Linked DNA regions of Mus musculus. The protein of the gene in region 1 interacts with the protein of each later gene in a pairwise test. Links are inferred from orthologs where the notes say so. Each region holds a gene or a part of one and is shown on either strand. Other genes may lie near its edges.

Region 1 (4,590 bases):
ATAAATACTTGGTACCACGTTAAAAAAATGTATTTTTTTAAATGGTAAAAGTAGCTATTTGATACTGGCTTGCTACAGAATTTTCCCCTCATGGGTTTTTCTTATTATTATCTCATTTCAGGTTATTCAATATGATTGTCCTATGAATTTATAATCCTAATTCTGAACCTTAAGACTTTTAGTAATTCAAATTACTACTATAAAAGTGCATATTTAGGATCAAGTAATGGGTTAATATTTGTTTTTCTGCAAGGCCAAGTAATTCCTTAACATGCTTATCTATAGACACAGAATGTTCCTACTCTTTTTACCTGTTCCAAGTAAATGACCAAGAGCACCATTTAAGCTGTCCTGAACCTCCCACAGGCTACTCTGCTTTCATTCCTGAACTTTCACTATTGCCAGCTTTCTGTCTCCTTCCCTAAAACTTACTGAACCTCCATTTTCACCCCCGCCCCTTTAATGTGGAAAATCCCTCACCAAATCACCAAACTATTCATCTTGAATTGTTTTTCATGAGTCCTAGCTTATATCATGAATATTAAATATAAACCTCCCAGTAGTCCTCACATAAACGCTCTATCTAGTCTTTGCGTCTAACTATCCCTCAAATGAAAACAGCCCTTCACTACAAGGTCAAAGCAGAAGAACAAAGTGGAACAATGTTCCACAATCTGGATGCCACAGTTATCTTAATGTAAAGAGCACTGTTGGGTTTTGTTTGATCAGTCTCACAGGTGACTTCTAATGGCTGTGATGACGTGACACCTCTATAGAACCAACTCTTACATTGTTGGCCCAATTTGTTCTCCACCTTTAGAAAACATTTACATAACATCTACTCTACCCCAGGCTCTAAAACATATTAAGTTTAGAAAGATAGTAACTATCTCATACTTTCATTGATAGTCTGACAGGAATGAAGATCTTACAATAAATCTGCATTTACTGCCTTCTATCTATAGGCCATATAAGTCAGCAATATAGACTAAGGACCGGTGCTTAGAAAGCTGAACACTCTCAGTTCCTGAACCATAGAACCATCTCACAGTACCTTCTTTACCTGGCCAGAAGGGGCACCTCATATCAAGATACACTCCCAAGTAAGACCAAGTTCCAGCACAAATGTACTTGGTAATTAATATGCCCTCTGATGGAACTGGGAAGCACTCAGCTCCAGTGGACCTAAAAGCTAACATTACATATCCTTAACATCTACCATGGGTGGCCCAGTTTCATTTCTAGTTTCCTCCCTGCAGTCTTAGCTAAAAGTTGTCCATTTGTGTAGCAATGTCAGGCACCACCGTTATTTCCTGTCCCAAGAGAAAACCTCGTCCACACAGCTGTCAACTCTGGTCCTGCCTTTCTCTAAGCAGGTAGAGATTAACATGAATGAGTTCCTAGAACTACTGTTAAGATCACTATGCATTTTCTGATGCATCTCGTTGCTGTCTTACTACTTCCTAAGTCCAGAAGTGACTCAACCTGGAACTTAACCTTCATCCAAGAAATTCCTGGTAACTGGGATACACTGATGTGTCCAAGGACATAGCCCCTGCACTAGGATACCTCAGCCTCAGGCACCTGTTGCTTAACCTGAGAAGAGGCCCTCTTTCAGAAGCTTCTAAAACGCCCACCCTCTAAACAAGTTTCTTTTTCCCTTCTTTCTTTTCTTGTCCCCGCCTCCCCAAGACAGGATTTCTCTGGGTAGCCTTGGCTGTTCTGTAGACCAGGCTGGCCCCGAACTCAGAAATCCACCTGCCTCTGACTCCTGAGTGCACCACCACCAACTGGCTCCTTTTTCTTCTCTATTTTTTCTTTCTCTCTTTTCTTTTCTTTCTTTAAAGAACCTTGATTATTCTAAAACTGTAAGTGGGTCTCAAAATCTGTATGACACGCAGTGTATATGGCAAGAATGTAACCATTTTCACTGGTAGCTATGTGAGCTCAAGTTCTTCTCTGCGGCGTACTTTCTGCACATGCGAAGGGAGCCTAACAAGCTACTTTGGTAGAATCTTTGAGATTACCTATCTACAATTCTCCCTACCGTGCCCAGAGACGGCAACTTAACAAAAGTTGGCAACTGTAATCAGTAAAACTGGGTAGGGCCCCAAGAGGACACTAAGCACGGGAGTGTACGACCGAATGGGGCTCCTTTCTGTGTCCTCAATCTACCGATTAACTCCAGGTCTACGCTCCAACGTCCAAGCCACTCCCGGGGATCAGGCACAAACGCTTTGGGCTTTCTCAAGCCCCCTTTCTATGTCTTCCATGATTCACCCTCCACCTTCCAAGTTGCTCTAGAGGGTGAAGCACCGAGCAAACGCCCCAGGCTTCTTCGATCCCTGGTTCTCGACCTCCGTAAGAGGTACCCCCAGGCTCCCCTCTACTCTCTGGGGCCGGAGGGAACAGGACTTGGGGTATCAGCGGGGCCAAACGCCCTCCAGGTCAGGCCGGGCCGGGCGCCCTCTCCTCCCCCTCCCTCCCTCCCTCCCAGCCGCCCCTCCCCCATGCCGGGCCGCTCGTCCGCCTCACCCGGGCCCTGCGCCCTCCCTCCCAGCCCCTTCCCACGGTCCCCAGCCCCACCCTCCCACCCGGCGCTGGGAGGTTCCAGAAGCCCTGCGGCCCTCCCGGTTCCCCCGACCTCCTCCTTGAGTCGCCACGCGCGCCTCACTCCGGCGGACATACCCCGCTTGCCGAGGCCGTCCACCTCAGCTGACCCGGCCGCTGCGGGCTCACTCGGTGTCGCAGAGGAGGCTTCCAAACCCCGTCCGCTCCGCCGCCGTCCGCCGAGCCTCGCCGAGCTGCAGGCTGCGCAGAGCTGGCCAATCGCACGCACCCGACGAGCCTAGCGACAGCCACGGTCCCGTACGTGGCAGGTGGGAAGCGCAGGGGCGGGAGCGAAGGGGAGAAAAAAAAAAACTGCCCTGGCGCCCCGCCTCCAGGCGCACAAGCCAGTCAGGACGCATGCGCAGTGGGTGAGGGGCGGGGCGGGCGAAGACCCCGCTGCGTCGGGTGAGCGGCCCGGCTTCCTCACTGGATGACCGAGTGTAGGAAGTGCGAGCCGAGGCGGACACGCATGCGCAGGGAATTACCAGCACTTCCGGTTTTCCGGGCAGCCAGTCTTTCCTAAGTCTGGCTGCTGGGTGGGCGGGGCGTAGTCTGCAGGGCTGGGTTTGCTACGAGAGCCTGGGGGAAGTGGGGCATCTGTCCAGAAAGGTTTGGGTCTTGTTGCTTTGTGGCTGTCGTGACTACGCGCTAGTCTGTCACATCTCGGAAAAAACGAACCCCTTTTCCGCCTTCTTTCTACACGTTCATTCATTCATTCATTCAGGATTGAGTGCCTACGCTTTGCCGAAAGAGTGCTAGGATGAGTCAGTTCCCCAGCTAAGCTCTACCCAAACATTTAGGAAGATCCGAGTTTAGAGGGCACACCCACCGGTGCAAAAGACAAACTTGGATAGTAAAAACCGAGGCTTCAAGAAGGCTTTTATAGGATAGAGATTTGACCATACCCTACACTCGCCTAAATTCAGTTTTCTTTTTGCTTTGGATGTGTTTAAATGGATGGAACTTGAGAATTATCATCCTGAGTGAGGTGACTCAGTCACAAAGGAGCAAACACGGCTTGGACTCACCCTTGAAAAGACTGCTTACACATTGGTCCCTGACTAGTGTCTGAGCAACTAGAATTCAACAATGCTTCCACTGTTCTTTATTAAGAGCCATCCCTTGTGTCTAAAGTGTTTGAATAAATGTATTTTACGCTGAACACATTTCAATCTGCTTGCAATCTGGGTGCCAGGAATCTTAGTACACAGCAACCAGTGGGTCCCGTAATCTCCTTTAACAAGAAGAAGAAGAAAAATAAATAAATAAAGCAAAGTGGAGTGGTATAATCTAACACTACAATCTAAGTCTTACAAGTAACTTCTGGCAGACTATTCACATGGTTTAGGGACTTGTTGCTGGAAGAAATTAAGTGTGTCCAGGAAGAAAGCTTAGATGTGTGCTCTGGTCTCATACAGACTTCTTTCTTTATAATTTGTTCTTTTGCTATGTTCCTTTATGTTCTTTTCTATAATACCGTATGTCCTAGACATGGATACAGTTCCCTATAGTATCTGTGCAAAAACCATACAATGCCTATAGATGTAATTTGAGCATACTTTTTATTAAAAAAATCTACATCTAGAAACACAGAGATCTCATTACCAGAATAATCTGGAAAGAAGAGGTTGTAGATTTTGTAGCAGTGCTCAGAAAGGACTTTAGTACTGTTGCTTGTCTGCTTTCAGGACAATATATTCATTCACTACTTAACTGGGGTACTATTTTGTTAATAATTTCAGCTTACCTTCATAGTCACAAATTTTAGTGGTGGCCTGAAATTCAGAGTTTTCCTTGTCTTGCTTATTCCTTTATAATGTCTTGTGATCTTATCTCAAATCACATGACTTGTAACTGTCATCTAAACTCCCAGTCTAGAACACATCCCTTCTCTATTGCTGTCTAGTGAGTACCGGGTGGTTGGGGGTAGGGGGTTTCATCTTCATTTATTATCACCAAGGTCCAGAAAGTCTCAGTTAT
Region 2 (4,429 bases), on another chromosome or scaffold:
GGCTGTCCTGGAACTCACTTTGTAGACCAAGCTGGCCTCAAACTCAGAAATCTGTCTGCCTCTGCCTCTCAAGTGCTGGGATTAAAGGTGTGCGCCACCACGACCGGCTGAAAATCTGTATGTAGATTTAGATTTTGCTTTCTGGTATGTCAGTTTTGAGTCTCCCAGAAACAGAGGCCAGTCTCAAAAACCCAACACCTCTCATCTTACAGCAGTGGCTTATCAACCTTCCTAATACTGTGACTCTTTAATACCATTCCTCATGTTGTGGTAACCCCCAACCAGAAAATTAGTTCATGGCTACTTCATAACTGTATTTTTGCTACTGTTATAAATAATGTAAATATCTGATATTCGACCCCTATGAAAGAGTCGACGCCCAAAGGGTTCATAAACCACAGGTTGAGGCCACTATTCTTAATTTAAAACTTAAAGGGAATCAGAGATAGCTTATTCTGGACCCATTTTTGAATGATGATGGCACCAAAACACAAATTTAGGTTACCTCAAATTCCATGTCCCAACATGGAACCAGTATCACGAGGTTTTTAGTTTTACAGAACAGAGAACGCTATAAATCAAGGCAAAGTTTAAAACACACTGGTGGATGGATACATTGGAGGGTACATCAAGATAGAGGAAGCTTTTCTATACATCTAAGACATTATCCGATGACATTCTTAGCTTTTGGATTGGCAGAGGCTAGTTGCCTGTTAATAGACCTAAAAGGTTTTTAATCTTATTGCCACAAGATATTAGTTTTGACACAGAGGTGGCTATTCTGGAGGGCTAGCACTAGCCCAAGATAAGGTAATTAGCCCCTGGACCTGCAACATTCCAATCTTTCCACAGTACTGAAATTCCAACTTATACAACTCAGTCTCTGCAGACATATGCTTTTAAAAGTTTTCATTCGCAAGACCTTTAGAAAGACTTCCCTTTTCCCTCATCTCTTTACCCTCGATTTTAACAGGACTACTGACAGCCAGCTTGGAGCCTGTCTACAAAAACCTCTAAACACAGAGAATCCAAACTCCGCTTTCAGTCCCTGGGTTGCGGTGAGCATCACCGGCCAGGGGGTTTCCTTTGGGTCTTTTGGACTCAGGAAGCAGGGAAACCTTCCCGCGCTCCACCCAGAGGGAAACAGCCCAGGCTCCCGGAGCCACGCGGCCCTGCCTGCAGTTTCGTGGGCGGCCGGCTGGAGGCGCAGTGCAAGCTGGGCGGGGCGGGCGGAAATAACGGGCGGCCAGGTCGGCCTCCCCGCTTCCTTTTCCGGTGCCAGGAGGAGCCGTGTCGCTGTCGTCTCGGTCCATCAGGCCTTCAGCGGGTCTCCATTGCCCGTCTCTCTGGACTCACCGCCGCCACTGTGCCGCGCCTAGGACTCGGATCCTGCCGGGTGAGTCCGCTTGGGCGCCTGCGGCGGGGCGCGAGGCTGGCGGGAGACGATGCGAAGACGCGGGGTCCCGGGGGGCCTGGCGGCTCTAGAGCTTTCGATGGGGAGGGTCCCCCGGGAACCAGGCGACCGAGGGATCTAATGTCGCGCCCGTCGGGTTCCGGGGCGCCCACGTCATGCCAGGCTTGGGCGGGGGCGGGCGGGGGGTGAGGGGTTAGGCGGGAGCGGGCGACCCTCCCCCACATCCGCCTGCGTGACCGGCTGGGGGCTGGTTCGCTCCGGTTGATCCCGGATTCCCTTTGTTCCCTTAACCCTAAAGGGCAGCTTGTTTGTCCCCCACACCCCCCCCCCGTCCCCTTGCCCCTCCACCGGTATCCCAGCCACTAATTTCTAATAAAAACGACAGTGGAGGAGACCCGAATCCTTACAGCAAGGTCTGGCGCCTGATAATTCTGTGTGACAAGCTTCTCGCTGATCGTAATTACCCATTCTTTAAATGACTACGGGGGACAGAAGGTGCCATGGGCTGAGTGAGTGACGTTCTCCTTTGAGCTAGCTAGAACGCTTGAACCATTTTTTTTCCTCCCTGCCATGAAAACTGAAAGTAATGTTTTCACGAATCCTAAAGTTGAAGTATCTAAACCAGACCCCACCGTAGATGTGTAACAGCCTACTACAGAAACACACACGTGTTGCCCCCTCCCCCATGTGCGAAAGGCCTGTTTGGAGGCCAAACCCTCAGAAGCTGGAGTCGCCCTCGGAAGTCTTTGTTAGTGGCGCTCCTTGGGTGGGGAGGAGGGCAGTTTTTAGTCGTGGAGTATTGGAGCCACTCTCTAGAACACTTCCCTTCAAAAACTTTTTCCTGCAGCTGCCGAGGTTGGAATGTTCTTTTTGATTACAGAAGGAATCGGTGTCATCTTCATTCTCCCTACAGAGGTTGAGCGTTGGGCTCAGGAACCTTAGGAATTCAGCAATCTTGAGATTCTGTGACTGTTAACTATAGAGGAGCCCTAGACTCGGGGACTGTTAATTAGTAATATTTGCACAGGGTGAGCCTGTAGATAAGTGCTAGCCCGGCTTGCTACAAGGTCCTAAATTCAAGTCCCAAAACTTTAGGGAAGGAAAGAAAAAAATTCAGCAGTTGTAACTATTCAGACTATAGCGGGGAGTGGGTGGAAAATGAAATGGATAAATAATGTCGGGTCAGCTTTTGCCACCAAATAAGTTTGTGCAGTACTTAGGAAATTGCTTTTTTTTTTTTAGTTGCTCTCTGCTTTGAAAATAGACAAAGGTTTGTGGCCATATTGTATCGGTTGTAAAAGCTAACATTTGTTGAGTTTTTTGCTCAGTGCCAGGCAGTGACTTAAGAGATTTATTTACAGATTAGTATAATAAGCCTCAGCAAATCTCTGGAAAATACCCATTTACTGCCATGTATGGGACTCAGAGAACTGGATTTGACCATAGGCCAGGCAGGCAGTCTACTCTGGTGGCTTTTTTGTTCTGTGTTTAAGTGAGAAGGAGAAGATGGGGCTGCAGTGTGGAGAGAGATGGCTCAGGTTGAACACATGCACTATTCTCGCAGGGGACTGGAGTTCTGTCCCAGCATTCACAGCCACGTATAACTCCAGGACATTAAGCACTTCTAGCCTTCTGGGGAACCTCCATGGAAGTGAACAACCCCGTGTATAGTTTTTAAAATGTTAAGAATGGCAGGAAGAGAGAATTGGACATTTGTTGCTATTTTCCAGTTTTAGTCACTGGGTCAGATGAAGTCCTGTTTAGTTCCTGTATAGCATGACAGCCCATTCTAACTTCATGAAGAAACTGAGGTTGACTCAGTCAAGTAAGCTGTAAAGCTATTTAGCACTCTTGTCCAAAACCCTCTGCTAAAACGTCTTACTGCTTTCTGGTATTCCAGCCAATTTGAACTGCATCTGCTTTCCCCCAGACTGGTCTTCCTCTGGTTTTATACAAACTGTTCTTACCCCGGAGCCTGTCTTTAACCTAATACTCTAGCTTTTATTCCAGACTGCAGAGATACCACTTCTCAGGAATGTCTATGCCATGCCACTAATTACTCTAAAGCTTGGGTTCCAATTAATAGGAATACATTATAAGAGCTCCTACTATGATGTTCAAAACATTCCAAGCTTTTTTACTTACCCAGTTATAAAATGGAATATAATCTGATAAATTACCCAGTACTGATCCAGAATCTGCTTTCAATATAATATATACTAATGTAATGCCCAAAATTAACCTGTAAGCCTCACCCTTCCAAGAACCAGGTAACTTCCAGAATGCTAAGAGTTGTAGTTCTTGGAAAACAATAAAATCTTGTGGGAAAGTATGGGGGCCAGTGAGTTTTGTCCAGAAAAGCCCCTCCAACATGTGTTTCCAGGCCACCCAGCTGGAGGTGCCAGTTAGTGGTCCTGGCCAAAGTCCATCTCTTGGTCAGTATTTAATATCTAATAAAGCTTCCTTCAAATTTGGCCCAAAATGGTGGAATTGGTTTTTCTCTGGTAAATCTCAGAATTAACACTGTCACACTCACCCATACAAAAATCATAGAAGTCCTGATTTTCCTTGATTTCTCTGAATTTATTTATCCATATGGTCTCACTGCCTGTGTCTTTAGATTCTTGAACTTCAGCTGGTGGTGGGGTATCGAGGAGGCACGGCTTTTACAAGATTGTTAAGAGCCTTGCTTTTGTCCAGAAGGTTTAATGTTCGTGTTTAAATATGGGGTCTTATATTATTTGGTCTCCAGTCAAAGTTTGGTGGCCTTTCCCTCTAACGCACTGCTTGCCAGTTGTCATAATAACTCAATGGACGTTTCCCCTCCTTACACTCGGAATGAGGATGATTTCCGTAAAGACCATGAAATCTGCTGACAGGTATTTTTCTCTTCTAGTGACTAGTTTTTAAATAGTAACGGAAAGTTGTTTAAAGTTTGTAATTGTGCAAAAAGAAAAAAGGTGTGTGTGTGTGTGTGTGTGTGTGTGTGTGTGTGTGTGTGTGTGTGTGCTTGAG

What was found.
Region 2: the proteins of Tfg (region 1) and Mapk1ip1l interact in binary tests that used the Homo sapiens proteins (3 or more experiments, as listed by UniProt). The two-hybrid records come from large-scale screens. The link is inferred for Mus musculus from reciprocal best matches to the Homo sapiens genes TFG and MAPK1IP1L.

The regions. Positions count from the first base shown.
Region 1 is NC_000082.6:56,714,497-56,719,086, forward strand, and holds the start of Tfg (protein TFG), read right to left. Parts: upstream 2,955-4,590; 5' UTR 2,689-2,954; intron 1-2,688. UniProt on the Homo sapiens protein: Plays a role in the normal dynamic function of the endoplasmic reticulum (ER) and its associated microtubules. Required for secretory cargo traffic from the endoplasmic reticulum to the Golgi apparatus.
Region 2 is NC_000080.6:47,297,010-47,301,438, forward strand, and holds the start of Mapk1ip1l (MAPK-interacting and spindle-stabilizing protein-like), read left to right. Parts: upstream 1-1,379; 5' UTR 1,380-1,396; intron 1,397-1,766; exon of another isoform or gene 1,767-1,923; intron 1,924-4,429. Other genes in the region: uncharacterized protein Gm35078, read left to right, coding at 974-1,379.